Linked DNA regions of Rhinolophus ferrumequinum. The protein of the gene in region 2 interacts with the protein of the main gene of each other region in a pairwise test. Links are inferred from orthologs where the notes say so. Each region holds a gene or a part of one and is shown on either strand. Other genes may lie near its edges.

Region 1 (10,164 bases), on a different chromosome or scaffold from region 2:
GCCATCTTACTCTTGGCTTTGCCAGCCTCCAGAGCTATGAGAGAATAAATTTCTGTCATTTAAGCCATCCAATCTATGGTACTTTGTTATCACAACTTGAGTGGGCTAAGACACCGAAGAAAATTAAAAATCAGATCCTCCAAGATGAGAAAGAAGAAACAAACATTCCAGGTAGTGTAAGCAGCTGGACTTCTTACCTTTCTCTAGACTTACTCCTTGTAATTGTTATTACTATCTCCATACTGGTCCCGGGTCTGGGGGTCACAGTGTGTGGGGGGGGTGTGGGGAGATCTATTTACTTTAAAATTCAGACCCAAGTGAGACTATTTCCACCATAATCTTTACAAAGTTAAGACAGGTCTGGGCTGTTTGGGCAAGTGTTTGCAAATGATTAAGGGGTAACCAAAGGCAACTACACAAAAACTAGGTAGGTCAGTGAGAGACTTGGTTTGCTCTCTGCTCTTCACTTTGCCCATGTGGGCTTAACTCTTGGTGGACACCAGATTCACACCAACCACAGAGGAACACATGTTCAGACTCCTCTTCTCCTGGAAGTCTGGACCCAAGGAAAGGCAAGATTTCCTGCTTGTGTCATTCTGGGAAAGGCCCACGGACCCCACCTCATCACTGCTGTCTTCCTGGGCTCTGGGCGCTGAAATGTCTGCTTTGGACATTTTGGATATGGAGGGAAACATAGGGCTGGGTCCAAGGTTCAGCTCTCTCATGTCAAGTAGGAAGCGACAAAGCTGCCTCCCCCACCCTGAGATGCAGACAGCTTCCTGACTGACCTCTCCCAGGAATTCTGAACCAGGGGAGAGAAGAGGGAGAAAAAAGCAATTGATAGAGGGCTGGGTACTTATAGCCACTGAGTGATTGCCAGGGAGAAAGCAGACCTTTGCTGTCAAGTCATTTTTAAATAATCACAGTCTCTAAGAACATAGCAAAGCAAAACACTGAATAACTGAAAGAGGAGTAAGATTTTCCTATCAAGTGACATAAACTCTACAAATGTCAGCAACAATAAATGAGCTGGGCAGAGATGGTGTAATTGAAGTTTAGTGAGAAGTTGCCTCATGCCAAAGCATTCATAGTTTTATCTTGTTCTATCTTGTTTATTCAAATCTTGTGGTTTGTCCAACATACGTAGCTGATTTCATGTACTTTTGGTATTTCTATAGCATTTCTAATCATTGTTCATTTTTTCTTTGGGAAGTTGGTCCTCCCTAATGTCCCACTGATTTGGGAAGTGGCCATCCCCAGTGAGTTCTGTGTCACACCCATCCACAAAATATGTCATGTTGGCCCCACTTTCCTTTACAGAAAGGCATGCTCAGACACAGTGAGGGAAGGGGAGAGGTGTTATTACAGATCAACTGATTAGAACACCTTCCAGGTAGGACAGGTTTGTGAGTTTGAGCCTCAGGCAGATTGGGTCTGTCCTCTGTTCCATGGCTCCCAATTGCATACCCATCACCCACCGAATCTCATTCAAGATCAGCGTGATAGTGAACCCTATTGGAGGTGGATCAGTATCTGCATATCCCCAGACTTGAGGAGCACCTGTAACAACACAGGCCAAATTATTATTGATCATCTTCACAATTAAAATAACAGGTATCAAAATATTAAGCAAAATATTTTTGTTGTTAAACAAAATGTGCCAAGTTGGAAATGATTTCCCAGCTCTGAGCGTCTCTCCACTAAATGATGCATGCCAAAGTAAGCATATCACAAAAATCTGACGTTTCAGGGTATGAGTAGTGAGAAGAAAAACAAATAGAGGAAAGGCTTGTATGTATTTTAGAAAAGAAAACAGCTCAGAAACAATACTAATTTTTTTTCGTAATGATTGTTCTTTCTGTTTATAATTTTCCTGATAGTCATAACACTAGGTATGGATTTGGAACTGCACACCCCCTGTGTTTCTTGCTCTCCTGATATGTCTCCAGAAATTTATGTGCTGTATTTGTTTTTATCACAATCAAAATTTAGAGCACATTGCATACAAAGTACCAAAGTGAAACATCAATATGAACTAGAAATGCCTGATAAAGTTACAGGAGCATTTTTTTCCCTTGTACTTTTTAGCCTTTTCCAAGTAGTCTACCATGAACGTGAACTACCCTCACAAATAGAAAAAAATCATTGCGATTGTTCACTAACTAAGACGATGCTGTTTGGTATGTTCCAAAGTTTGTAATATGGGCTTTACCTCTTCTTCCTCCATCCCTTCATTCACTCTTCAAACAGCCAGTTTTGGAAGCGACAACTCTGCTTTGATGGTAGGCCACGGTTAATTAACCTACTCCAGAATTTCAAATGAGAGATTTCAGCTCATTCGACAATTCTAACACACTTGTGCAAAATTAAATATTGCTTATGTGAATAATTAGCTTGAATCACGTGTGAAAGCAAACGGACAGTTTTTTAGGCAGTCTCTAAGTGTTCTTCCTTTCATGCTTCTACAAATGAACATTGAGAGCTAAAGAGAAGCGCCTTTCCTTTGACCCAGAACAGGGTTTCTGCAGGGGTGTGTGCAGCGTTGGGAGAGGAATGAACAAGGATAGGTATCCAGCCAGCCAGATCAGACCTAGTGCTCAACAGGAAGAAAAATTCCTTAGCCAGACAGCCATCACATCACGTTCTGCAAATGTTAGCTTATGCTCAGTCTTTAGCCCTAGTCTATGAAACAGAATAACTGTGCTGCTTGGGTGATTTTGAACAGCCAGGACCCCACTGGCTTAGCTGACTCTACCACTTAGTTATGATTTCTATTTTAAAAAAATCTCCCTTCATGCAGCTGATCCTTGTACTTCCCTGGTTTATTTTAATGCTGTCTTTAAAAGGTGATAGCTATTTGAGAGCAAAGGAAAGAAGACAGATAAAATGTAGCACCTCCTTGGCTAATTCAGAACTGCTTGAGTCACAGCTTGATCCAATACAGTTACCACCCCCAGGCCAGGGTGTCAGAGTCTCTTATTTTGGAGTTAGGCCCAGCTGGGGCTTTTGAAACTGGCTCTAGACCTTTAGTAGCAGGACCAGATGGTGGGATCCTCTAGGAAGAAATTCTGCTGTGGACTTTCTAGTCCCTAACCAGGTCTTTGAGCATACTGTTCCTTACCCCAACTAACCTAGCTCTACTCAGGGAGGAAATGAGGACCGAGAAGAGGGAGAGGGAGGGAGGGAGGGAGAGGGGTAGGGAAGAGAGAGGGAGGGAAGAGAGAGGGAGGGAGAAGAGAGGTAGAGAGAGAGAGAGAGAGAGAGAGAGAGAGAGAGAGAGAGAGATTGGTCTTGTATTTCCTGTGTATGCTAATAGCAGCCAGTATTCTTTTTTCCTCAGTTATCAGGATCTCTCCCCCCTCCCAAATGCCATGTTTTTCCTGTTTTTGGCTTTCCTGCTTTTTTTTGTTTTGTGTTAAGAAATCCTTCTCCTCTTCAGTCTTATCTGATAATTTTTAATTTCTAAAACAACTGGATTTTTTTTTTTACCAACCATCTCATAACAGGAGCATAATCTGGTCTTGGATTAGAAATATGCCTGCCAAAATCAAAAACATAATTTATTTTTAAAGTTGTTTCTCTACAAAATGAGTATTTAATTTTTGCTTATTTTATTTTCGTTTGTTTATTTTTGCTCTTGGCCAACCAATATTTCTCCCTTTCTATTTATTTTCATGCCTAGTCCTCACTGATTCTATAAGCTCCCCAAAATTGTGTGCTAAATTCCTTTTTGCTGAAGTTAGCCAACTTTTGGTTAGCTGACTTTGATTTGGCCAGCTTAGTCTCTCAGTAAACAAAAATATTAACCAATGCACCTTGCTTCCATCTTGCCCCTCACCTCTTCTCCCTAGGTCTAAAATTTCTAGTGATTAAGCATAGATTAGATAACAGTCATCCAAATGTTGTCTTCCAGACCAATTTTCCAGATAAATAAACTGGAATTAAAGGAATGGGAAACAAGATGGGTCTATTTCAGCAACATAGTATCGCGAGGTGTATCCAAAAGACACATGTTCAGGGGCACATGGCCATCTGCAGCCCTGGAGGTCAGGACTTTTGACTATTTACAGTTTTCCCCATAGTTGGCTTTGGTGAAAGACTGTGGTAGTATCCTTCCCTGTAGCATTCTGCTCTGACATCCTTCCTACTTCTTCAGAACCAAAAGATTGCTGGGACAGAGATAACTGGGACTCAGGCAAAAGAGTAAGGACAGAAGTCATTGGCAGGCAATGACAGAACTGACATTACACATATACAGGGTCATTCAAATGCTTTTAGGAACATTATCTCTGCTGTTCTTCACAGTAATGCTGGGTGGGGAGGGGAAGCAGGCAGAGCAGATATCTCCATTTCACTGTTGAGAACCCCGAGCTTCAGAGAGATGAATTAAGTTTTCCAAGGGTTCAAGGCCAAAACCAACATCTGCTCTCTTCTCCTATAAAGAAACCAAAAAACTAGGCTGAATGATGTGTTGGCAGAGAGGAACAAGTAGTAAATGAATGAAGAGTTGTAGACCTTGAATAATTAATAGCTACTACTGAGGTTATACCACCTGTTAGGTTCTGAGATGAGTCCCTTACCTTTAAGACGGGGAGAACATTTGGTTGCCTGAGAGAAGGGATCGGCAGCACAGCAGATGCTCAATTAATGTTTAATGAGTGAATGAGATAAGACATGCGATAGGATGGGCAACCTGAGAGAGGGCCTTAGTACCTTATAAGGTGTTTTGATTCAACAGAACAGGTAACTAGAAGCCTCTGGAGAGGATTCATACAGAAGCACTAGATCAAGCTCCCTGACTTATTGGTCAACTGCCAAAACTTTTATACTCAGATGCGAGTTTTCCGTGACTAGGTCTGAAATGAGGAACAACCATTCGGCCTTTGGACAACCCACGGTAGCAAACCCCAGGAAAAAATAGTTGTCCTCAGGATTTTGGGTTGCTCCCTTTCCTTTTCGCTTTCACCTCCCGAAATACATTTCGGAGTGAGCCAGGGCGTTTCATCACTGTAAATTCAAGCCCGACAGAGAGGCGACTCTGCTTCAGAGCCCGTGGCGGTCGCTCGCTCGGAGTAGCGTCGCCCAGCGGGCAGAGGCAGCGGGTGTGTTCCCGGCCTCCCTCCTCCCGCAGTACTCGGCGCCCGCAAGCTGCCACCTCCCCAGGCAGCCCCGGAAAGCAGACGGCGCTGGGAGGTGGGGCCGCGGCCGATCCCGCGCCTCTATTAGCCGGCGGGGCAGCGGAGGCGGGGCAGAACCGCTGTGATTGGCGGGGACCCCAGCCGGAGGGGGCGGAGCCACTATATCAGAGGAGTCTCTGTCGCGGCGCAGGCAGTCTGGCTGCTGGAGTGCGGCGCCGCGGTGGAGACTCTGAGAGCCGGTGGGCTAGCGGGCTGGCAAGGGGGTGGCAGGAGGGCGCGGCGGCCGCGGGGCGCAGGACAAGGGTCTGCAAGGCGGCAGCGTCCCGAGGACCAGCCTTACTGAGACCCGGGCTGGGTCTGATTGGTGGGGAGGCGGCAGCCCCGCTCACACCAAAGAGGAGGCGGCTGTGGCGGCAGCCGCGGCCCCAGCCATGCTGTGCTATGTGACGAGGCCGGACGCGGTGCTGATGGAGGTGGAAGTGGAGGCGAAAGCCAACGGCGAGGACTGCCTCAACCAGGTGAGGACGAGGGGTCAGGCGGGGACCCTAGGCCGAGGGGCCTCGCGGCGGCGCAGTGCACCTGGGACGCACCGCTTGCCAGGGGCCGGGCGGCGCTGCGGTGGGGGCGGAGGTGGGGTGGGGGGGTGGGGTCGCGTCCCAGGCGCCCGGCCCGCGCCCCCTACTCCACCGGCTTGGGGCACATGGCCTCCCAGCCGGGAGCGCGTGGGAAACCGCAGAGTACGCGCGCGGTGGCCGGCCACCCTGTCCCCCGATCCCCCCGCCCCAGCTCGGCACTTTCCCGGAAGAAGGCGGACCAGAACATCTGCCGCAGGTGTGTGCATGAAGCCGCCGGTCGGGTCCCCGCGGGGCCTGCCAGCGACACCTGCGTCCCGGGATGAGGTGGCTGGAAGCGGTCACAGGTCTCTCAGGTTGTTTGGCAGACAAGCCGGGCCCGTGTCTCTTGCTGCTGCTCAAATGGACCATTCACCTGCATCTTCGGGTTTGCGAGGACGAGAGTACCGTTTTGGCATCTACTCCTCGCTTGTCTTTAAGCACGCGTTTCTTTAAGAGCGAAGAACGGTTCCAAACTGCATATTGGTAGGGCAGACAGCAGATTTGATCTCAAGTGAAACGCTGTGCTCTCAAACCCCCTAGACCTGAGATGTTTGGAAAACCCTTTCAAAGCTTAGCTGACACTTGTGGCGTGTTTCCTCAATGTGTTTGTTTTTTGGTAGTGCAGATGGTTAAAATTGTCCAGATACTAAGCTGCCAAATCAACTGTGTCGTTTGTGTTGACGGAGGGAATTTTGGTGATTAGAATAAGGAGGAAAATTCCCTGAGATTGCCCTCCTCAGCCTTTCTGGAAGGCTGCTTTTGAGGACTCCTTTTTCTCTACTGCCATTGGCCGTGTCCTGAGTATTAAAGGACATTTCTATGCTTCACCTAGTAGTTTAGCATCACTAGATCTTTGTTCTTCCAGTTTACAACAGAAATTGTAACACTGTTGTTGAACTTTGTAAAGAGTAGGCAGAAATCTTAGAGCCAGTGGAGTCCTTGGGTTTACTTTGACCACATGGACCATTTGCTCATCCATGCTGCATTCATTTTTGTTTCAGGTGTGCAGGCGATTGGGAATTATAGAAGTTGATTATTTTGGACTGCAGTTTACGGGTAGCAAAGGTGAAAGTTTATGGCTAAATCTGAGAAACCGGATCTCCCAGCAGATGGATGGGCTAGCCCCTTACCGGCTTAAACTGAGAGTCAAGTTCTTCGTGGAGCCTCATCTCATCTTACAGGAGCAGACTAGGTAAAGTGATGCTTAAATAAACCAATGTCAAATAGGCCTTTGGTTCCATTTAGAAAGGGTCATTGCACCTTCCCAGAGATGTTTAGGCAAAACAAAGGCAAATTTGTTTTGATACAGAAGAGTGAGTTGGTTCATCACTTCGAAGTTTTCCATGGCGCAGCCCTTATATCAAAGTGAACAGGGACCTATATAGTTGACATGGGGTACATTTTCCAACTCTTCTTGTGGTTTTTCTTGTCTTTATAGACAATGGGAGAGCAGGGTTGAATTCTTACAAACACAATGGCAGATGCGGGGCTGGGTGGGGGGGCAGTGGGAGGAGAGGAAGAAAGGAAGGAAAGAAGGAAGGAAGGAAGGAAGGAAAAGACCCACTGACTTCCTGATAGCAGCAGCTAATGCCCCAGAGTAACCCCTGCCTCTCAGCAGTGTTACTATAGGTCACTATAGACTGTTCTAACAGAAAGCAGGAAACCCTTCTTAAACTTGGTCAACTTCTTCAGGCTAGTGTCAGATTACAATGTGTAGCAAAGAGCTCTGTCCGACTTAATGCAGAATTTTAAAAGTTTTTAAGTTTCTGGAAAACTTAGAGAACTCTTTTAAGAACAGTATAACCAAACTCCATCCCACAGATATGTTATATATTATTGTTGCATTTAGATTGTTAAATTTATCGCTTTAGAACACCACCAGTAGTGGTAGAAAACCAGAGAAGGTGTTTTTCTCTTGCAAACCGAAAACATTTTCTTCTCTGGGCTGACTGGAATACTTTTCTAAAGGATGAGAAAACTAGGAAAGCAGTGTTGAACATTTATTGCTGAAATGCAAGAGACCTAAATCTTACAGTGGCATGTTAAAAAAAAAAATTAAGAAAAACAACTAATTCTAAATACAGCAAACTTTAGCTCTAAATTCTAATGTTTTCCATAATTGTTTGGCTTGGAAATTTTCTTGTACATAAAAATGTGAATGTGAAAATTTGAGTAATGATGAGTAAACAATACCTTTAAGAGTTTTAACATGACATTTTTTGTTTGTTTACCTAAAGACTGATAGAAACATATTTTGAAATACTGTTTATTTGAATTTGAAATCTCTGCTTTGTCTCATTATAGAGCTTTAAAGAGTGAGGGAAATGTTCAGTTTTGTTTCTGAAGGAACTGGTATATTAAATTCTTAGTGCTCTTGAAAATGTCTTGCAAAATATTCAAGTGATTACATGTTTAACGATGTTTTAGCTGTGTATTAATCAGAATGGGTTGAGGGTTTTCTTTTTTTTATTGAAAGCTGATTTGTGAAAGGTTCCACTTTGCATTTCTGTGTGATAACTGGCAGTCAAGTAAGAATATAATATATATATATATCACAATATATTGGAATTTTCATTGTGTACTTTTATAATGATTTTCAGTCATTTCAGGGCCTCCAGATGCAAATCTATTTTGATGACACAAATATATTTTTTAAATCTGTAGAAGCTTCGAAGAGCAAATACATCTTTTAAACAATGGCTACAGTTATAATTATATAATACATTTGTATAATGAATGCTTACAGACTTTAAAATTTACTACTAGACGGTCTTGTACTTTCTTGTAATTGAGTTAATAACTATTATCAAATCCATTTTATTCATGCAAGAAATAGAGACATTCTATGAATTAGAATTGGAATCAAATTTCCTACTTTATTGACTCAATTGGCTTTGACTCTTGAGATTCATACCTAATAGCGCTCAAAGAATACACATATCTAGTTAGACTAGGTAATTTTAATTGATTTTAGATCCTTTTGAAATCTTATTGAAAAATTAGTGTGATCTAAGCTTTTGACTTGCTTTTAAAATGTTGGAGCATTTTACTTGTTTTTTGTACCGTTGTCTGAAATACAGAATTCTAAGAAAATGTCACCTAAAATTTATATAGCATTGTGCCTTAATAACTACATAAAGTGATTTGTCATTAGCATTTGTACCTTTTCATTAGGATCGGAAGTTGTATTGGGTCCAGTTTAGTTATGGCTTGCATTGTTTGTATGTGCATGATACTATAGAACAAAAATAGTTATTTCCCCCAATATGAATGTTAGCAAGATAAAGCTGGTTGATAAACCTTTTGATGTTTAATTATTCATTATAAAATATTTACATAAAGTGACATGAAAATAAAATAGATCTGTTTAGGTAGTGAGTAAACTCAGCTTTACCAGTGCAATTATGAGAGGTGATTGTTTACCGTCTCTAAGTCAAGTCATAAGGGTACATTTAGTGTACGAAAAGTGTCTGGACAGTTTATTAAATGGCATGAAATATGCTGGTTGAGTTGTCCTTTGTGGGCAATTAAGTAGCCTCCTCACAGTAGAGCTGGCCTAACGGGGCCAGTTAACACACTCGTTTGCATTGGATTAGGGAGGCTGCTGTGAGAATGAACAGCCTGGAGGCCTGTTTGTTAGAGTACTGGGGTCAAGGGTCTGCATCCTAGGTCCGCCTCTGCCACCAACTACCAGTGTATGCGGACTTCCCAGACTGAGCCAGCTCTTTCTTCATCTCAATTGAAAGTCCAGGACCAGATTGTCTCTGGAATCTCTTCTAGCAATAGATTTTTTTTTTCTTTGCATCTGTTTCCTCTCTATATGATTTTCCTCAATGTTTTCCTAAATGCATTTCCCTGAAGACAGAAGAAACATATCAAGTGTCTGCTTAGATTGGTAGGTAGAATTAATCTGGTTTCTGATTTGGCCTCATTTTAAATTTGGTTCTTTACCCAGATTATTATGTTTGCTCTTGAATGGAGGTCTGGAAAGTAACCGAAGAGTCTTGTTTAGACTCAGCTGGCACACTTCAGAGATGGAGACAGCAGGTATTTTCAGCAGATGTTTGCCATGCTGTGGATTAAAACTAAAAGTGAAACTAATGTATTCTGGACGTTGATCTCAAATAGTAATCTTTGGAATTCTTGCCTTTCAAAGGCTCTCGGTTATTCACAGCAATTCAGACCAGATTTTGGTCAACATTTTCAAAACCGGTTTAGAGAATTATAAGCCTCATCTTCAGAGGTGGTAATTATACCATCCACTGCCAATAAAATCTTTCTGCTTCTCCTGACTTTGCCGCATTTTAGCAGAGCTCTGGTCTTTGCTGGGGGCATTCCTGCTTAGGTGAAGACTCACCAACACCAGAATTCTCTTTCCCAGGAAACACCAGTACAAGGGGTCAGTGAGTCCT
Region 2 (9,689 bases):
TAGAGGGGAGATGTCAATTCATGTCCACCTAATAACTTGCAGGATCAGCAGGCGAACACACACGTTCATGACCAAGTCTAATTAGGCTGGCAGACAAGTGGCATTAATCATTTTTGACTGTACCTGGGATTCAAGCCCCTCTCACTCCATAATCAGAAAATTTCATGCTCTGATGATAAAGCCTACATTTAATCCTTTCACTTTCATCTTTTGAGAAGACAGGAAGCGGGGAGGAGAGGAAACAGGCACCGCTTAGGGACCTCAGAGGGACTCTCTCAGCATTCCAGGTCTTTTCTCTGTCCCTCCACACTCCACTAGGATCTTTCTCAAGAAGAAGACACCAGTTAGAGTCGGGGGCAGGAGAGGGACGGGAAGTCGCAGATTCCACCATCTGTAACAACACAGCATTCCTCTCAGGGCTTCATTTTCCTAACATCCAAAGCCAAACATGGGTCTGAGTCTATGAAAATACTTCAAGCCACACACCTCAGCACTGGTGGATGCATTGGACAAGTAAAATATCATCCAAGTGCCCAGGGTTCCTGTACAGGGAGACTCACGTCAATGTCCCAGTAACCTCTTCTACAAAGAACCCACGACAAGGTGTGGGCCTGCATGACCTGACGACGGCTGTCACACGGGTGGTTCCAGTCTGCAGAGAGAGGCGGGTTAAGCCCAGCCATTCATGCAGTGACAAGGCAGGGCTGGAAAGGCTAGACAAGGGGCCCTGTGAGACACCAGCCTCATTCACCAAGAAAGTCCCCCTCCCCACCCCTGAGGACCATGGCAAATGCCTCATACTCACACCATAACTAATGTGTATCACAGGAAGGGTAAGTTAGGATGATAAGCCCCAGGGCCCCCCTTTCAACCCTATAATTCCAATCACTTCACACTTCATAGCTCTGAACAACGCCCCTTCCAGAGAGACAGGCTCCGGGAGCAGATGCATGGCACTCACTGGCAATATGCAAGGTACGTCCAAGCAATCCTCTTGGTTGAGTGGGACTTAGGTTTCCCCATTTTCCAGATCAGTCTCTGGTCCAGGAAGGCTTACACATCCACCAAAATGAGGTGAAAAGTCAAATGTCAACCTAATGTGCCTTCTACAGAGAAAAGGGTCTATGATAAGGGATATTCCCTGAGAACAAAGCTGAAAGACAGTTGCTGAGGTTCTCATGTTGACCATTCCCTCCTGGAGTGCTGGAAATGGATATTCTCACCCCTGCCACTGCCCCCACCCCAAAACACACGCACACATTCACACAACCACCTCTCTCTCTCTCTCTCTCTCTCTCTCTCTCTCTCTCTCTCTCTCTCCCCTCCCACCAATCCTCATTGGATTTCCTTCTCTATCTAACAAACACGATTCCTTCGATCCTGGAAATTAATATTAACCCTGAACCGCCCTGTTGGCAAATCCAGCATTAACCAGAGCTCAGATACAGACCTTGAAGCAGGGGTAAGCTTAAATTAGAGTAACTTTCACTAAAAAGGCAGGCAGTTTTCTAAAAGCTTCCCTTATTAAAAGCCCATTTTGCCAACAGGGCTCCCACCAGTGTCAGCCTCCTGCTCAGACAGATGTCATTCACATACCCACTGCCCTTCTGCTTGCTTCCAAGAGCAAGGAGCTTTAATAGTAATAAGCTGCCGCCTTCGTCAGCCACTCCTTACTGAGCGTGTGGTCTACGATACAAAGACAAGGTGCCAGCATCCTGGTGACCACTAAGCCACTGACGTTCTGTGAGGATGCTCCTCAGCCAGCAGGCAGAGTGACCGTGTCTAGAGGACACTGATACCTGCACTTCCGGGGATACTAATGGCACGCGCTACCCCACTTAGCTAAGCAGCCAGACAGCATCTGAAAACTGCACGCATTGCTTGGGAAGGTGATCCTAAGAAGTGTCCCAAACCCAGACAAACTGTCACAACTGTTGAGTGGGAGGGGATAATAGTAACATTCACATTGCATTAAACATTCATATTGCATTTTTTAGGCACTGTTCTAAGTGCTTTATATATATCAATTCATTTCATTCTGACAGTAACATGATGAAATAGGTAATGTTATCTTCCCCATTTTTTAAAACAAGGAATCGGAACACAGAGATTCCCAGGGGCACATTGAGACTTGGTGGCAGAGTTCACACCCTGGATGCACACCCTGGTCTTCTGCTTCCAGGCTGTGCTCTTAATCATTGCATACTGCTGCCTTTTACAAGTCGTACTTCAGACCCTTGCTTTTTAGAACAAAGATAAAATAAACCAACCCTGCCATGGAATTAGACCTTCAGTTTAAAGAAAGATGCTCAGTGAGTTCGGCTTGCTGTGTCTCCACCTACCCGTCCTCATTTTCACATCAGAATATTTCTTAACTGTTCCCATCCAGTCGCAGGCCCACAATTAAATATCTGTAATGACAAACAGAGACTCCTCTCCATAGCCCCTTGATTCCAGCTCTGCTCTCTCTCTCTCTGGTGTTCAGATATCCCTGGTTGGTATTAAACCTATGCAAGTGCCACCAAGTCACACAAAGTCAGAGGAAATGTCCATGCACCTGGGTCTTCCTGCCATGAGAAACTATTTATGAACCAATCGAAGGAAATAAAGTTTAATGTGAAGTTAACATCAATTCATTTAGTCATAGAGTATCATGCATATGCACATACAAACACACACAAATACACTGTTACCACCACCCCCCCAATCATAAAACTATGCAAAATGTTCAACAACTGATATAGTCCCCAAACATCTTAATACAAAATAAAATTCCAGTGAAGCAGATTCCCGGGAATCCCACACAATAAAACCCATTACAGTGAGGATACTGCCTCTGTGTCGACAGGGTTGGTGATCATAGTAAAGTACTCCAAGAGCCTTGAAAAGGCCAAAGCTGCCAACACATCCGCGGGCATTCAATTCTACGGGAAGGTCAGGGGCATTTACCAGTGATAACAGCCCTCCACCCACATACACACCTCTACAACTTTTGCTCTTTCCTTTTTAATCGGCATCTGAACTGTGAGTTCTGGTGTTGGAGGGACTAGCACCCCCTTCCCCCTCCAATCTTCCCCTTCCATTTAACCCTGGCTTAGATTCTGAGCTCTCTTCCCCTGCCGCCAGCTGCAATGGGAGGCATACTGTACAGCCTCAGCTGTGGACCGGCTGCAGAGAGGCAAGGTAGGGTTTTCCTGACGTGGAAGTAGCTGGTGCTGTCCAATGGTGCAGCTAGATGGGAGATCATGGGGGAAGGGCCCTTGCTGAAAGATGCAAACCACAATCCATTTCCAGAGATGCTTGCTAGAGTTATTCCATTGTCTGTGCTTTGTGCCTCAGATATTTTAAATACATATATAAACACATAAACACATGGATATCCTCTGCCAAACATGGGCAACAGCAAAAATGGGGGGATGGAGGTGGGGAGAGGACACCCATGAAAAAAACACACACATCTAAAACTGTAGGAAGAGAAAAATAATAAACTCCCAAGAATATTGCAGATTGGCTCAGAAAATCTGCACGCTTGGTGCCTAGTGTTTTCTAGTCAGATTTGAGAAGAGCCTGACTCAGGAGGAGGCCAGAGGGGCTTGAGAGCTCTGGGGATGAAGGGACCAGGCCAGAGTTGGGTAATTTTAGAGCATGATGACAGATGCAGTTACATAGGAGGAAGAAGAGGAGGTAGCAGGGCAGAGTCAAACATTAGAGCAGAGTCCAAAGGTTTGAGGGGCCAGAGGTAGAAAGCAGGAGGGGGCACAGGTCCAGGGTGACCTCCGACTCTCTTCAGCCTCACAGCTGTTTCTATCCAAAGCCTAACCAGGTCTCCTTCCTGTCCCAACAGGGCCCCCTGGAGGATGTACCATACAGGGACATGTACCATGGGCCTCCTATACCATAGATGAACAAACATGCCATTTTGTCATTAACCCTTAATAAGCACGGGTCAAATCGCCAACTCAATACCAGTTTCACTCTCACAACTCTTTCTCAAGAACCTACAACAAAAGCAAGAGGGTGCTCAGGAGACAACGGAATGACCTTGCGTCTTCCACCATCAACCCCAACCTGCGTGTCTGTGTGTGTGTGTGTGCGTGTGTGTGTATACACGTGTGTATCTGGGGGGGGATAGGTATGCACCCGTCAGGAGAAGGTATTTACTAAATACCGCAGAACCAAATCTGGGCAGTAGGCAGTCACTAAAAGATACCCGACAGCGGACTAAGAAGCAGTCTCCAGGGCTTATCTCCCTTAAAGTTGAGGAATCCCCTGGAGCCAGGGAGCGCAATGCCCTCTCCCGGTCCCAGCCGCTCGCCCATTGACTGCGGTCTTCCCGCGCGCCCCTCCCCTTGCCCACCGTCATACTCACTAGCGCAGCGCAGCGCCTGCTGCAGCACTTCTTGGCCGCACAGGTCACACCAGCCTCTGCCGCTCCGCAGCGCCAGTTGCGCGAAGCAGTGCCCCTCGCCTCGCTCCGCCGGGACGCGGGGATCCTGCGGCTGCTCGAAGATGCTCCGCACATCGCGGGGTCGGGGCGCTCCAGGCCGCCGCCGCAGTCTCTGCTGCAGACCAGGCCGGAGAGGGCGAGCGGGGCGGGAGGCTCGGGGTGGGGGCTCCGGGTCCCCTCGGGCAGCCCTTCGGGCGCTGCGCCCCTCGTGCGCCCCGGGCGCAGTGGAGAGGGGCGCGGGGGCACAGCGGCACGAGGACCGGCCGGGAGGCGGCGGCGGCGGCGGCTCCGGGCCGCTCAGGCTCTGCAGATAGCGCGGCGGTTCTGGGTCCAAGAGCAGCCGGTACGGGCGTTGCCCGATGGCCGGGGACGCCATGGCCATGCCAGGCACGCGGCGGCGGCGTTACTCCCGAGTCCTCCTCGAGAGGAGGGCGGCCCCAGACCAGCGGCCTTTAAAGGGACCGCAGGCTGCGGGGCGGGGCGGGGGCGGGGAGACTCCGGAGAGGCAGGAAGGACGACCCCAGGGAACCGCGGACCAACCAAGCCGCAGGGTTGGCAGTGGGGGGTGCCCGAGTGGGTGTGGATTTCGGGGCGTCTTCAGGAAGCGGACTGGTCAGCTGGAGCAACTGGAGGATTTCGTATGGGAAAGACTCTATTCGGTACAACTCAGATGAAGCATTTCTGTAGAGGGCCGTCTGCCTTCAGCCCGCCTCTATCCCTCTCCCGTCATTTCCCCGCACACCATTCACCCCCACCCGCACCCCAACACGCCCAGGTGAGAGGGCGGGCGGAAGGAAGGGCTTGGGAGCTAGCAGGGAATGGAGTCTAACGAGAAGTCCATGGCTAGGTAGGTGTCCGCCCGCCACGCTCCCTGTTTCCAGCGGACCGGAGGGATGTGCTCCTTTGCTCTTTCTCCCTCCCACTCTGCCCCCTGCCCCCCCCGCCCCCCCCGCCCCCGGCGAGCCAAGCCCCGCGGTAGTCGGAAATGCTGGGCTCTCTCTCTCACTCCCACAGCCGCGCGGAGTCCGGTGATGCGGGGGAACGCGCCGGGGGCGGAGGGGACGCTGCAGATGCTGACCCCAAGAAGCTGTCCCCCGCGGCGGGCGAGGCTATCCGCGTGCGACTTTCACTCTCCGTGGATTTCCCCTCTATTAGCTGCCCTGCCGGTAGGATATTCCTTGCCCAGAAGAGTGAGGTTAGGGTAACCACGGGCCCTGGATTGTGAGAACACTCTAGCGGCCCGTGGGTTGGGAGAGCTTTACTTCCAAAACCAAACCCTCCTGTCCTCCGCTGTTATAATTACTGTGGAAATACCAGCCCCGCACCCCCCTCACACACACCAAAGCCCTACTTTGTATCTGATATTGACAGCTCACCTGTGGGACCCAAGTACAGATCCCTTTGCTACCAGCATCACGACCATCTCCGTCACCCCCCCCCACTTTAATGCTCTGCTGTCACGGTCCTGATAGCCTTAATAATTTTTTAACAAAGGGCCCACAAATTATATAGCGGGTCCTGATTATCTCTCATAGGTGAGGAAACGGAACTCCTGGATCTTGGAACTTGTGTCTTGACATAGACCAGTTGTATGACCCTGGGCCCTCTTTACCTCTATGGTTTTAACTGTAAATTAGTCTGGGAGTGAGGGGACAGGTGTATGCTTTTGTAGTCCTTACCAGCTCCACCACGCTGACTCAGTGATCACTGCCTGTCCTCTTAAAACTCGGGTAGGGGTTGGTTGGTTTATCAGAAGTCACCAGAAACCAATTTTAGGAATAGTCTAAATTCTTCTAGCTCTCAGACTCCTCCTCTTCCCAGGCTAGAGATGGGTCTCCCCCTAGTGTCTGATGGGGGGAATCTCCACCTTTGCTTTTCATTTTCCCCTCGGAGTAATTTTTAGGTAATTCCTAGCAATTCTAGTCTAGTGGCCAGGGAATTCCCAGCCTGCTTTGGTCCATGGCTTCTCCCTCAGGGCAGGGATGATCATAGAGTCCTCTGCGTTTGTAGCAGAGGACATGTTGCAGGGTCCCTGGATCTCACCAGAGGCTGGAAATTCTCACCTCATGATGTGGTTTCTGGGTAGGTGGGAAGAATGACCCACAGCAACAAACACCACAGAGCTACAAAGAGGAGTTGAGATGAAGAATTGTGAGCCACCAGCCACCCCCTTCTCCCCTACTCCACCTTTCCTCTCCCCTGTCTGAAATTTGCTTTCTCTTCATCAGCGGTTTTCAAACTTTGGCATGCATGGCAATCACCCGGAGGGCTTGTTAAATCACAGATTAGTGCACCACCACCACCACCACCACCCCCATACACACACAGAGTTTCTGAGTCAGTGTGTCTGGGGCAGAGGTTTGATATTTTACATTTTTAACAAGTGCCCAGGTGGTACTGATGCTGCTGTTCCAGGAACCCCACTGCTCCAGATCTAAGATGGTGATAAGAGAATGGGTTTCTCCATCCTTTTCCCCACAGGGCAGGTGAAGTGCAGTGGGACATGACTGAGCAAAACCCAATGGGAGGGCTATTCTGGAATGCTTTCAGCTGAATGTTTAAAAAGGAAAGTACAGTTCGCCTTTGTGCTCTCTTATTCCCATCTCTCCCACTTTTTTCTGCAAGCTGGCTCTCAGGGTTATGCAGAAACCTGTACTGCATATAAATATTTGCTTGTTTCCACCCTGTGTTATCTATCCATCTCCACCAACTTGAGACTCGTTCTGGAGCTCACTCCCACCCAGGAGTGAGTGAGGTTTAGGGTGTGGACCGAGTGTGAGCTCTGGGTGCCAGCTTGGTGTGGCAAGAAGAGGGGACCTGGCAAAGAGTTCATTACTGGGAGGCAGTTTTGAAATGCCATTTGTGAAAAAATTGCCAGCAATCACATCTATGCTCTTTACCACCACCCCCCACCACCCCCCAAGCATGAGTTTGGTCAACTCAGGCCAGATTCCCAGGATAGAGAGGCTCATTGAATGAGTGTCTCCTCTGGCCCTGGAAGACTGAAGACTATATGGAATAATCAGGCATAACAAAACAAACAAACAAAAAAACCCTTCCCCCTTGCCTGAGCTGTACAGAAAAATGCCCTGGTTTCTGTTTTCCTGAGGCAGCTCTGCAGCAGGAGAAGTGGGTGCTGGCTGCTCTCAGCACTAAGTGGGGGAGGATACCCCCACTATGCAGGCCCAGAGCCATACATTTAGCTTCTGGAGGGGACAGAGATGAAAATGGAGATAGCATAACTTCATGTAACCAATCCAAAAGTTTATCAAGTTTATCTTAAGGTTCATCTCCCTGAGCCAAGAAATTGAGGTCTGGAGAGGTAGTTGCCTTGCCCGAACCCAGCAGAAGCCTCCCTGCCTATGACTTGCTCCTCTGATGCCATCTTTCCCAACACAGTCCAGTCCTGTCCCTTCTTCCTTGAAAGAACATCCCCTCCCTCCCACGCGTGCACACAAGGACGCATCTCATTCCTTAGTACTCCCAAGGGAAGCACAAACGACTATGTAAACTCTGTTTTCATTGTAGGGTCAGGGCAATGTCTGATGCTTGAACTTCAGCATTGTTTGGCTCAGTCTTTGTCATGCAGGCTACACGGGTAAGACCACAGCATCAGCAGGGGAGACACCTCCACTGTGAGCTTTTCCCTATGTTAGCAGATCCTCGTGGCCCAGAGCCATTGACTTTTTCTGTTTGTGACTCACTCCCTGAGGAGTGGGTGTGCTGTTTTTACTTTTGACGGGGGAAGCATTATGATAGTGAGTTTGAGTTGTGTGGTCAGTGTGTGAAGTCATTTCCGAGGTGGTCCCCGAGAGTGTCGGTTCCCCCACTGGGTGAGTTGTTTCAAGGCTGCCCCCCAACCCCCTACTGAGCTTCCTAGTAGGAAGGAAAAGGGAAGGACACAAGTGCCCTGACTTTCTGAAGGGGAAGTTTTTGGTTTTGTTTGGCTTTGAGGCATTTGAAGTCTCCTGAAATCCCCGAAGCGTTTAGGGAGCTCCCAGTGACTCTGACAGCTCTGCTCTCTGCATAGGATCACGGCACCTGTCAGGACAGGTTAGGTTACGCTGCGGTAATAATCAACCCCCAAATCTCCGTGCCTTTAAACCAGAGACTTTTTCTCTCACATAACCTTTATGTTTGGCAGGGGGGCTCTGTTCATCAAAACTACTCAGGGACCTCATCTAATGTTGCCAGTCACCATGCCAGAGGGAAGTCGAGAGAGCCCGGAGGGTCCTCCACCAGACTTTAAAAGCGCCAGTCACTTCTGCTCACAACTCATTGGCCAGAACTGGTTACACAGCCCACCCTACACAAGGGAGCAAGAAGTGCAACCCTACCGTGTGCTCAGAATGGGAAAAGAGCTCATCACTACCACAGTCTCCAAAGGCACAGAGCAGCTATTTATTTAACAAGCAATTATTAAATATCCATGATATATCAGGTGCTGTTCTGGGCACTAAAAGTACAGTGGTGACATAGACATGTTCCTGAAGCTTACATTTTAGTGGGAAGGCCAGAAAATAAACATACAAACATAAGTGTAATACAATGTCAGGTTATAAGTGTTATGATGAAAAATGACGCACATTATGGGAATAGAAAGTGACAGGGGCTGATATTAGATTGGGTGGTCTCTGAGGAGCAGACATTTAAATATAGACCTGAATGGAGAAAGCCCTGTGTCTCTGAGCAAGGGTGGTACAGACTGAGGCAACAAGAGGCAGCCCTCCACCCCCACTTTCCCAAACTTTATGAGTATGAGTTTGTTCCAAACCCCAAACCCCACCTCCAGAGATTGATTCAGTAAGTCTGGATATTGTCCTGTATTTTATAAGAGAGTTTGATTAACGTGACTCACAGACCATGCTTTGAAAATGTGACCAAGGCAGTAGGTTGTGTGATGTGGGATTGTGTGACCGCTCCAGAGACATTTGAGAGAAAACACTCTGACCCTTGTTAATTGCAGGATTCTAGCTCTCCGAGCTACTTCCTTCCCTTCTTGGGCAGCTTGTCCCACACAGAGCTCAGCCTCCCAAGGAAGTGGATGTTGTTTGCAATGTGTAATTAGGGTCAGTAATACCTTCCATTGCTAGACTATGAGCAGGGACCATGACAAAACGTTGTCAGGGAATTAAAATGTTTGTGAAAGTCCCTTGAAAATCCTCATGTTATACGTATTTACTCAAGAAATGCACATCGAACACCTATAATGTGGCAGGCACTCATGGCTTGAATGACTTCA
Region 3 (10,222 bases), on a different chromosome or scaffold from region 2:
CTGTCCCAACTCAGTGTTGATTGATGCCATGTTAGTGGCTTTACATCTGCCATGGTGAGTATATTTACACTGCAAAAACCAGCAAACACCACAAAACGGGGTTTTTTCCCCCTCCCTGCAGGGCCAGTTGTCAAACATTTACCAGCACATCACTGGTCACAGTCTATGCTATGTGAGCAGATGACCTCAGTATCCTCACCTAATCTAAGGACAGCGTTCTAATTCTCCACGGTCCATCATAATATTCACTCCCAAATCCATCACAGCCCCTTTTATAGTCATCAATGAGCCAGCAAATGTTTGCCTAAATGCTGGCTGTTTACCAGGCCCCTGGATGAGCACATAATACCATATCCCTGTGAGACAGTTATGATTTCCATTTCACAGTTGGCGAAACTGAGACTCAGAGACTTCAAATGACTTTGAAACTAAGGACTAAAGCCTATCTTAGGTCGGTGTCCCCCAGAAGTTGACCCTAAGATAAGACTTCAAGTCCCAGTGGAAGGGGATGGGAGAGTGAACATGGAAGGGAAGGCAGCCAATGAAGGGAGCCAGTTACTACTGTGAGCAACTGAGATTCGCTCCTGCTAGGCAACTCATAGATAGCAGAGAACATGCCCCAAAACTACCCCAACAGAGGTGAGGGAGCTGGCGTGCTTATGTACCTTCTCCCAGCAGTCACTGATTGAAGCCAAAAGAACATGGGAAGGATGCTGGCCTTGCCCGATTCCACGCAGCTAGAAAATGTAGAAGGCAATTCAATACTGTTTTCATTACTTTTAAAGAAAGGAGCAGTTCATCAAACAAACACTTAACTGAGTGCCAACTATGAGTAAAGTGCCATGCTGGTGGTGAAATAAATCTACTTTGCCAAATCACTTTGGGTTGACATGTCCAAAGAAAGCACAAGGTATCATTTTGCCAATTTTTATCAATACAAGTAATAGAAAACGCCCTTCTAAGTCCCTTTCTTCATCCCATGGGAATTAGCCAAATGATCTTCCCTGCCCCCTACTCCTATGAGAGGCTGCCCTCTCTGGTTCAGCTGCAGCTGCCTTGGGCAGCTCCTCCAGCCTCAAGCTGTCATTCTGAGCAGCTACACCAACCTGTGATTACAGGCTTCAGAGTCTGCCATCGCAGGGAAGACCAAAAATGACCCCTTGGTCACCCAGCCAGCCGAGCCTGAAAGCTGTCCGTGTTTGCTGTGCCCTGCTTCCCCTGTGCCTCCTGCCCCGTCCCCTTCCTTGACGTCCTCCTTGGGAACCTACCAGTAGGCCAAATAAATGAAACCACAATCACAGGCCTGTGGGAGCTTACCCCACCTTGAAGATTTATTTAAAACTCTTCTGGAAAGGCAAGGAGGTGTTTAAATAGGGTGGTGTGTCATTGGGATAAATCACTGGACCACACTGTGAAGAGTGGTGGGAGGGGACCCCTGCCCTGGTTTTATAAATCCAGCTGTAACAGTTCGCAGCAACTATGACTTGAAGACAGAGACTAGATGTCTTGTTCTATTACAAGTGCATGGCGGAGACCTTCCCAGTTTCTCACTCTCGGGGAGAGGAGGAGACGGGAGGAAGTCCCAGGACTGCTCTTGGACCACCCAGTGGGCATTCCAACCTCTCCATGGGATTCTCTGGCAATCTGGTCCCACCTCTACACCCCACCTCCCAGTGAACACACTTCCTGCCAAAATATCCTAGAGAGGACTGAAAGCAATAATCAGGCCAACGTCTTCTTGTCTTTTGTGCCAGGACCCCTTTCTGGAAAGCTCCGCAGTCCAGCCCTTGGCACTCCAGCAGAGATGCCAGGATGTGGGGTCCTGGGCATCTCTCCAGCCAAGCCTCTTGGCCATTCCTAAGCAGTTCGCACACAGAAGGCAGACACAAAGCTTGGCTCTGGGACACCAGGAAATCAAAGCAAAACCAGCAGATGACTGAAGGGTCCCAGGTAGGCAAACGCATCCAAGAGTGAGGAGAACTGAGGAATTGAAAATAAAGTGTAAGGTTGTCTACCACTCCCAACCGACTCCTAAAATAACACAAACTGAAGAGGCAGCCTGAGCCCCCAAAGAGATGCCATGCAGAAATGCAGAGAGGTGGGCTCTGGAGCCCCAGGGGCAGAGTGAGCCCACCCTCGGGAAGGTGGGGACCCTGCCGGCTGGAGGTTCAGCAGGTGCAGGTACTGCACATGCCTTGCCTACTCAGCCAGGTGCAAAAGGCACACCCCCACCTTCCCCTGGAGGAGGACGTGACTAGAGACCTCAGAGCCCCTGGCCTCCTTTCAGCCAGGCTCCCCAAAGGTGCTCCTCCTCATTCCAACAGATTTCACCAGCATAAAAATGAGAGTAGGGGAGTACGGGATACGACTAGGTTGCACTCCGAAGGTTATCCAGTGTCCCCAGTACTCGCTGAAGGAGGAGAGGGACTCACCTCACTCCCCAATACAGGGAATCCTGAACTGTACCAGCCCAGACTCCCAGGTGCCCAGACAGGCAGGCTGCACACTATGCCACCATCTCCTCCCAGGGGAAGAACCACCCTCTTTCCAAAACTACTCCACCTCTCTGAGCTCAGCCAGCATTTGAGGCCCTCGCTTATCCCGCAGGGGCCCTCTGGACTGCTGCAGCTCTCAGGCAGCAGCAGACCTTTCCAAAGGAGAAAGCACAGCTGGTGCCCAGATTCATGGCCCTCATCCAGGGTCTTTGATCCCAAATGGGCATCTCCCAAGCCAACTCCACACTTAGTCCCTGGGACACTGCACTGGGACACACGTTAAAAATAATGAACTCTTCTTAAACAACCCAATATTCTTAGTCATGAGAAGTGTCTTTAATTCTTCAGACCACCTGCTGAAAAAGTTCCCAGTAAGTAAATGTGGTTGATAAGTAATTAATTCCAGCCTCAGATTCTTCATTCAGATTCTCTGGAAAGAAGGCCTCTGGCTCTAGCTCACAGGCAGCTGTTTAAAAGAATCATTGTTTCTAATTCTTTCCTCCCATTGTACCAAGATCAATGGTGGCAGGAACCCAGTCCCCTTCCAGGACAAATTATTATTTGTCAGCTCATTGGTTCAAACATTCATTCATCACATGTAAGGTACTTACTATAAACCTGTTCGGCTCTAGACACCGCTCTGTGCTCTGGCAGAATACGTTCTAGGGATGCGAATTCCTGGGTTATAAAGTGCATGGTAGCGTTGAGAAGCCTGGTGCTTAGCTCCTCCTGTCACGGAGGCGCAGGGGTGCTGTGAACAACCCCGGGCCCACAGAGTGCCCATGGGCAAGACGCAACCGCGGAACCCTCGGACTCACTGTCAGGCCACTGCGCCTCTCTGCTGTCCCCAGGGCTCTCCCGGGTTTGGAGCTGAATGCAAAGCAGGCGCTCGCAATACAGAAGCGGCCGAGGTCCGCCCAAGGCACCTGCTCTCTTGGGCGCAGAGGACGCAAAGGCGAGGGCCCCAACGACCAGGCACCAGCTCCGGAGGTGGGCGGAGAGACTGAAAACGGGAAGTGCCGGAGGAACAGGGGGGCCGGCGCACCCTGCGACCTTCTGAATGAATGCAGAAGGAGCTCGCGAGGCGGTCTGGAACCCGCTTCTGGGGAAACGTCCGTTGGGCAAGGAAGAAGGGGACCGAACTGGGGTCGGGCACTCCTCAGGGCTGTCGCGGCCTGCTACCCCTGCACCTGCCGCCCGGCCCCACCTCTCCAGGGAGTCCCGGGGACCCCGGGAATGGAGCGGGAGTGAAGGAAATGATGCCAGGGGTCGGATCGGGAGGACGAGCTTGGAGCCACAACTTTCTCCGGCAGGAAGGGGGGCGGGCTGGGGCTCCGTGCCTACGCGGCCCCTTTGGAGTCCGTACCCTCGGGAACCCCCGCGGCTGGGGGACCTAGAAGGAGACCAGGGGTAAGCGAGAACTGAGGGCCTGACCTAGACCAGGCAGGGGACTCTGCGGGAAAACTTTCGGCCAGGCAGGAGGGGGGTCAGAGGAGAGAGGACTGCCCGGTACCCCACACCTTGCGTCCCGCACCCCGCGCCTGCAGCCTCGCGCCCCACGCCCAGCACCCCGAGTCTTGCCTGTATGCCAAGCCGGCTGCATCTAGCACGCGCTGCGGAGACTGTGGAATTGGAAAGTGAGGTGTCACGACCGGTGGATTGCTCCAGCACGCTCGTGGGTCAGCGGTCGGCGGGTCCGGCTCAAATCCAGCGGGGCTGGGCAGGCGGCGGCCTCGCGATTGGGGTTCGGGCGCCCCGCCCTTCTCCCTCCCCCTCCGCCCCTCTCCCTCCTCCTCCGCCCCTCCGCGCCTTCTTGCCCGCCCCAATGTCTTTATGTACCTTATCCAGTCTGATCGTCCTCCCTCCCCCTCTTTCTCGAGCCCTTCGTCGCTCCCCACACCCCTCTTCCCTCGCCTTTCTTCCTCCCCTCCTCTCCCGCCCGCCCTCCCCCCTTTCCCCTCCCCCGTGGGGGGGGCGGAGCTTCTCCCCTCCCTCCCAGACAATGCTGTGGATATGCGTCCCATCCTTCCCCTCCGTGAGACGGGGCTCGGGCTGCTAGCTCCTCTTCCGGGCTGGGAGTGGGGAGGACGGGGTAAGAGTGCGAGGGTGGGGGGGGATGAGCTGGCTCCCCTCGCCCCATTCTGTCTGCCATCTCCTAGAGGGATGGAGTCTTGGCCCAAGCCCCTCGGCTCGCCCCGCGCCGTGACAGCCGCTCCCTGGGAACAGTAACGCTGCCCCGCGGAGCCCACCTCGAGCGCTCCGGATTTCCCAGGCAGAGGATGTAGGATTTTTTTCCGCCCCCCTAACATCACGCTTATTCCAAAAAGGGTTTGAGTTGAGCAGGGGAGTCTAAGCCAGGCCCCTTCGACTTCGCGGGCTGGCAGACGTGACAGTAATGTGAAGGAGGCCAAGTGTCTTTGTCCACCTCTCACCTCCCCCTCTTATGCAGCGTGGACCTCCAGGGGCTCTCAGAGCACAAGAAGCCCTGAGGCACCCCAGCTGCGGGGGGAGCGGGGGCACTCATCTGTTCCCTCCCTCTTATCAGAATTCTCTCCCCACATACAAACTCCAGCTCTGCAGAGTCAGTCATCGTGCTAAAATAGAAGGGGACCTAACCGTTAATGGGTAGCCAACCCCTAGGATACAGCAGGATCAGCTCATCCCTCCTGGAAGCCAAACATTCTTTACTAAATTCATTGTTTGGATCTTGGAATGTGTCTCCCTTAGAAACAATGTTATAAATGATGATCTGCCTCCCAGGCCAGCCACAAAAGTCTTTTGAACCCAAAACGCAGCTGTAGGGTGGTGCTGAAAACTGTCAGCTACCCAGGAACAAGGAGGCCACTAACCAGCTTTTTCTATAGAAAAAAAAATCTTCTGGTCCTTGTCCCTTGAGCTATAAACAAAAAGTTCTAGTAATTTCCCCCTGGAGCCACTACACTGTATTAGTTAAGCTTCTTTGCAGGTAACATGAACACCCTCAGGGGAATGTATTCTGAGGACATGGCCTATAGCCTCAGGGTCAGAACTGCAGGGAAAGCTCAGTAAGAGGAAAATCCAGAGCCTGGAGGGCTTCCAGTAACCTAGGAAGTCTTCTGTGAGGGGCCAGCTCTTCCATTTCATCATAGACTGGCCTTCCCTACATCCCAGACACATGACAAACGGTAGCCATCACTTATGTCACTGGAACTTGGAGCTCCCCTGTTTAAGCAGCCAAGTGGAACTAGAATCCCTTAGTCTCTATTCCAGTCTCCCAGGAGAGCAGCCCATTGGCCCAGCTTCGGTCAAGTGACTATCCTATGACCAATCAACTGGGGCCAGGGGTGGGCTTACATTGTCCAAATTAGGTTGCCAAGAACCCTGAATCTATGCCCTGCTTAAAGCAAAATCTATCCATCTCAGCTTATATTCTCCATCTTGGTGAATAGATTTATTGGTTCAAAACACCAGAAAACCTCTTTCTCCTTATCAGTTTCCTCATATAGAAACCATAAGAGAAAGGAATAGGCCCTTATCCTTCAATGCAACATAGGGACAATACATCTATCTGTACCAGGGATAATATTGTGCAAATATTAAACTGATACATTAAAACTCCTCCCCTTAAACCCTGTTACCCTGCAGCCCCAGCAACTCCCCTCCCCCGCTCCCCTACCCCCAGCTGGACCAGGAAGCTCCAAGATAAGCATTACCTAGAACCAGTGCTCTGAAAGAAATACAACGCAAACCACAGGTGTAGTTTAAGACTTTCAAGCCACATTAAAAATGGTAAAAAAAAAAAAAAAAAAACAGGGGTGGCCGGATGACTCGGTTAGAGTTCAAGCTCTGAACAATAGCGTTGCTGGTTCAATTCCTACATGGGATGTTGGGCTACCCCCCCTGCAACCGCAATTGGACTTGGAGCTGAGCTGCGCCCTCCATAACTAGATTGAAGGATAACAACTTGGAGCTGATGGGCCCTGGAGAAACACACTGTTCCCCAATATTCCGCAATTTAAAAAAATAATGGTAAAAAACAAGTGAAATTAACTTTAATAATATATTGAATTTAAACCAAAATATCCAAAATGTTACCTTTTCAACAGGTAAACAATAAAAAGAAATTATTTTTTACATTCTATTTTTTTTTACTAAGGCTAAAATCAGGTATGTATTTATACTTCAGCACATTGCAATTCAGACATTAAATTTTCATCAAAAATATTTGATCTGTATTTAGATTTTATATAATTTCTACTTGAGAAAGTAGATTCACTTACCCAAGTTGTTTCTAACAACTTGCTTAAAAGTTGCCCAATAACTGAAATGAGTATTAGTTTTTTAATTTAAGTTTTAATTAAGATTTCATACACTTAAAATTCAGCTCCACTAGTCACATGTCAAGTGCTCAATTGCCACATGTGGCTAGTGGCTGCCAAATTGGGACAGCACACGTTTTGGGAGCAAAGACGTCACTGAGGAGCTCAAGTTTCAAAGCTGATTTTCCTTATCTCTTTAGCAGAACAGTGGCAAGAATGTCAAGCATGTCCAGAGAAAATGATTTTCTGAATTCCTTTATGTCCCCCTATAACATCTCAAGAGATAGGTTTTACCAGTGGAGTTCTACTTTATGCCTGAGGAGAAGCAGGATATTCAGAGAAGTGAGAGACTCAAAGCCCACTCTTCTGTTTCCAGTGGATCCTGGGAGAAGGGAGAAGGAGGGGACACAGACAGTCGAAAATGCTGCATCTTCCCTGATTGTGATTTCCATCAGAGTGCCGAGGAATATTGAAGGGTTAAGGGGAGTTCTGGGGATAGAGGAGAGGATGTTGACACACTGGCTGTTCTCTTCTGTTCTCAGGCACTGACCTAGGGGAGAGGACAGCCTCATCAAAGTCAACTTAGTAGATCAACATGGTTACACAGCTTTCTAGGGTCACCCCCACAATTCCTGCATAGCACATGATGCAGAAATTCCTACCTGCTCCCAAGGACCAGGAGCCTCAGAAGGAAGCTAGATTGTGAGCTGTAGGCCTTCCGTAGGGCCTGTCTTAGTTTGGGTTTCCTCAAAGCAGAACCTGAGACAAGGACTTGGGTGCAAGTCATTTACTTAAGAGTTGATTCCAGAAAGCAGAGGAGTGAGACAGGCAAAGAGGAGATGCTAACAAAGGATGTGTAAACTGGGACTCCATTCCTCTGGGGACCCTCTGAAGAACCGTGTAAAATGTACCTCAGAATTGTCCTCTCTGAAGTCAGGGGGCTGGGGCATTTATCTGCTGACTCTCATCCCCTACTTGTTGAGGATTACTTCCGGGAGAGCTTACCTCTTCTTACGTTCTGGCTCTGTGAACATCTTTGGCCTTAAGGAAACATCTGAGGCAGAAAAACAGGAGCCACTGCCATTGGTACTTGAGGTGGGACAAGTCATTGTGCATAGAGCTGCCCACCATGGTTATGCAGAGATGAGCAGTGGGCTAAGGGGATGTGACACAGAACACGCAAATCGTTAGCTCTAAGAGCTAGCATGGAGAGAGGCACGTTGCCCCTGAAGGCTCAGTCAGGACTGACGGGAGGACGTAATAGGGACTCAGAGGGAGCACGGCCGAATTAAGATCAAGGAGGGCAGGGAGCACTGCAGAGCTCTGAAGGGATATGGAGCACCCAGACCGCGAGGTACACAAGCTGAAGGCATCAGCAGTAGATGCCAGCCAGACCCTCAGGAATGGCGCCATCACCCATCCTAATGGTTAACTAATTCAGTTTTCAAGGGATGGTCCAGAGCAGGCCCTCTGCAGGGGGATCCAGGAGGACTCAGAGATAGCATCCTCACATGTCACCACAAGAGAACGAAAGACAGAACCTACCCGGAAGATCTACCTTGGAGAGACCTGGGGAGGGAAGGAAGAATTCTGAGAGTTGTCACCTAAGGAGATCCCTGGAACTGATTATATTATTGCATCACACTCCTTTCTCTGTCTCTGTCTCTGTCTCTGTCTCTGTCTCTGTCTCTCTCTCTCTCTCTCTCTCTCTCTCTCCTATACAGGAGGTAAGAATCTACAAGGCAGATCTAGTGAGTTATGGAGAAAAAAGGAAGCTTAAGTTCTGCCACTGGGACCCGAAAACATCTGGACATGTCTGACACCTAGTGTGGTGGGCTGGCTAGAAATGCACTTGTTTGAGAGGTGAGAAACGGCCCTCCTAGGAGATAATTTTCAGTCTAAGGAAACAAGAAACCAAGTTTGGTCCAGTAATAAAGCTTTAGTTGACAGAAGGGAGGTGAGATTGTCACTCAACTCTGCCCCCTGGGCACATTGTGGAAGGTGGGAGTTTTCTGGGAAGATGGGAGAAGCTCTAAGTTACAATTCAAAGGACTGTTTCATAAGCCTCAAGGACTCGGGGGCCCAAGCAGCCATGCTTCGGGGACCTGCTGCTAAGTAACACTGAAGGGACCCACACACTTCTCTGATTCAAAGACTTGGTATATTGGCAATGTTACCCGAACCTAGTAGATGGATTGCCAAAAATGGTCACAGTTAGTCTCTTACCTGCATACACTTTGCAGTTCCTCCCATAAAGAGATGGCATCTATTTCGCCACCTTGAATCTGGGTTGACATTATGACTTGCTTTGGTCAATAGAATGTGGCAGAAGTCATATATTACACCTTTTCAGAGCCTGAAAAGGGCCTCAAGAAGCTTTCCACTCTTCTACTTTCTACTGGAACATGGCTCTGCCACATGAATAAGCCTGAATTAGCCTCCAGGAGGATGAGCGATCCAGAGCCAGGTCCCAGACATGTGCGAGACCCGACCAAGATCAGTAGAGCCCCCTCCTCAACCCAGAGCTCATCACTGATGCATGAGGGAGCCCAGCTGAGTCTAGCCCAAAGAGCCAACCAATAAAAGTACAAGCTAAATAGATGGTTATCATTTTAAGCCATGAAGGTTAGGGGTAGTTTGTTATATAGCAGTAGCTAATTGATAAAGAACTTAACAGAATTTTTAAAAAGGTAACTACCGTGTTTCCCTGAAAGTAAGACCTAGCCGTATAATCAGCTCTAATGTGTTTTTCAGAGCAAAAATTAATATAAGCCCCGGTATATTATATTATATTATATTATATTATATTATATTATATTATATTATATTATATTATATTATATATTATATATTATTATATATTATTATATATTATTATATTAATTAGACCGGGTCTTATAGTAAAATAAGACCAAGTCTTATATTAATTTTTTTTTTAAAGATTTTATTGGGGAAGGGGAACAGGACTTTATTGGGGAACAGTGTGTACTTCCAGGACAGTTTTCCAAGTCAAGTTGTTGTCCTTTCAATCTTAGTTGTGGAGGGGGCCGTTCAGCTTCCAGTTGTTGTTGTCCTTTTCAGTCTTAGTTGTATCGGGCGCAGCTCAGCTCCAGGTCCAGTTGCCGTTGCTAGTTGCAGGGGGCACAGCCCACCATCCCTTGCAGGAGTTGAACCAGCAACCTTGTGGTTGAGAGGATGCACTCCAACCAACTGAGCCATCCAGGAGCTCAGCGGCAGCTCAGCTCAAGGTGCCGTGTTCAATCTTAGTTGCAGGGGGCAGAGCCCACCATCCCTTGAGGGAGTCAAGGAATTGAACTGGCAACCTTGTGGTTGAGAGCCCACTGGCCCATGTGGGAATCGAACCGGCAGCCTTCGGAGTTAGGAGCATGGAGCTCTAACCGCCTGAGCCACCGGCCGGCCCCTTATATT

The links.
Region 1: the proteins of RASSF5 (region 2) and MYLIP interact in binary tests that used the Homo sapiens proteins (3 or more experiments, as listed by UniProt). The two-hybrid records come from large-scale screens. The link is inferred for Rhinolophus ferrumequinum from reciprocal best matches to the Homo sapiens genes RASSF5 and MYLIP.
Region 3: the proteins of RASSF5 (region 2) and RASSF2 interact in binary tests that used the Homo sapiens proteins (3 or more experiments, as listed by UniProt). The link is inferred for Rhinolophus ferrumequinum from reciprocal best matches to the Homo sapiens genes RASSF5 and RASSF2.

What each region holds. Positions count from the first base shown.
Region 1 is NC_046292.1:78,573,266-78,583,429, reverse strand, and holds the start of MYLIP (E3 ubiquitin-protein ligase MYLIP), read left to right. Parts: upstream 1-5,330; 5' UTR 5,331-5,569; coding exon 5,570-5,656; intron 5,657-6,753; coding exon 6,754-6,944; intron 6,945-10,164. UniProt on the Homo sapiens protein: E3 ubiquitin-protein ligase that mediates ubiquitination and subsequent proteasomal degradation of myosin regulatory light chain (MRLC), LDLR, VLDLR and LRP8. Activity depends on E2 enzymes of the UBE2D family.
Region 2 is NC_046305.1:24,874,966-24,884,654, forward strand, and holds the start of RASSF5 (ras association domain-containing protein 5), read right to left. Parts: upstream 4,854-9,689; 5' UTR 4,830-4,853; coding exon 4,370-4,829; intron 1-4,369. UniProt on the Homo sapiens protein: Potential tumor suppressor. Seems to be involved in lymphocyte adhesion by linking RAP1A activation upon T-cell receptor or chemokine stimulation to integrin activation.
Region 3 is NC_046306.1:26,448,610-26,458,831, forward strand, and holds the start of RASSF2 (ras association domain-containing protein 2), read right to left. Parts: upstream 4,272-10,222; 5' UTR 4,077-4,271; intron 3,525-4,076; exon of another isoform or gene 3,107-3,524; intron 1-3,106. UniProt on the Homo sapiens protein: Potential tumor suppressor. Acts as a KRAS-specific effector protein. May promote apoptosis and cell cycle arrest. Stabilizes STK3/MST2 by protecting it from proteasomal degradation.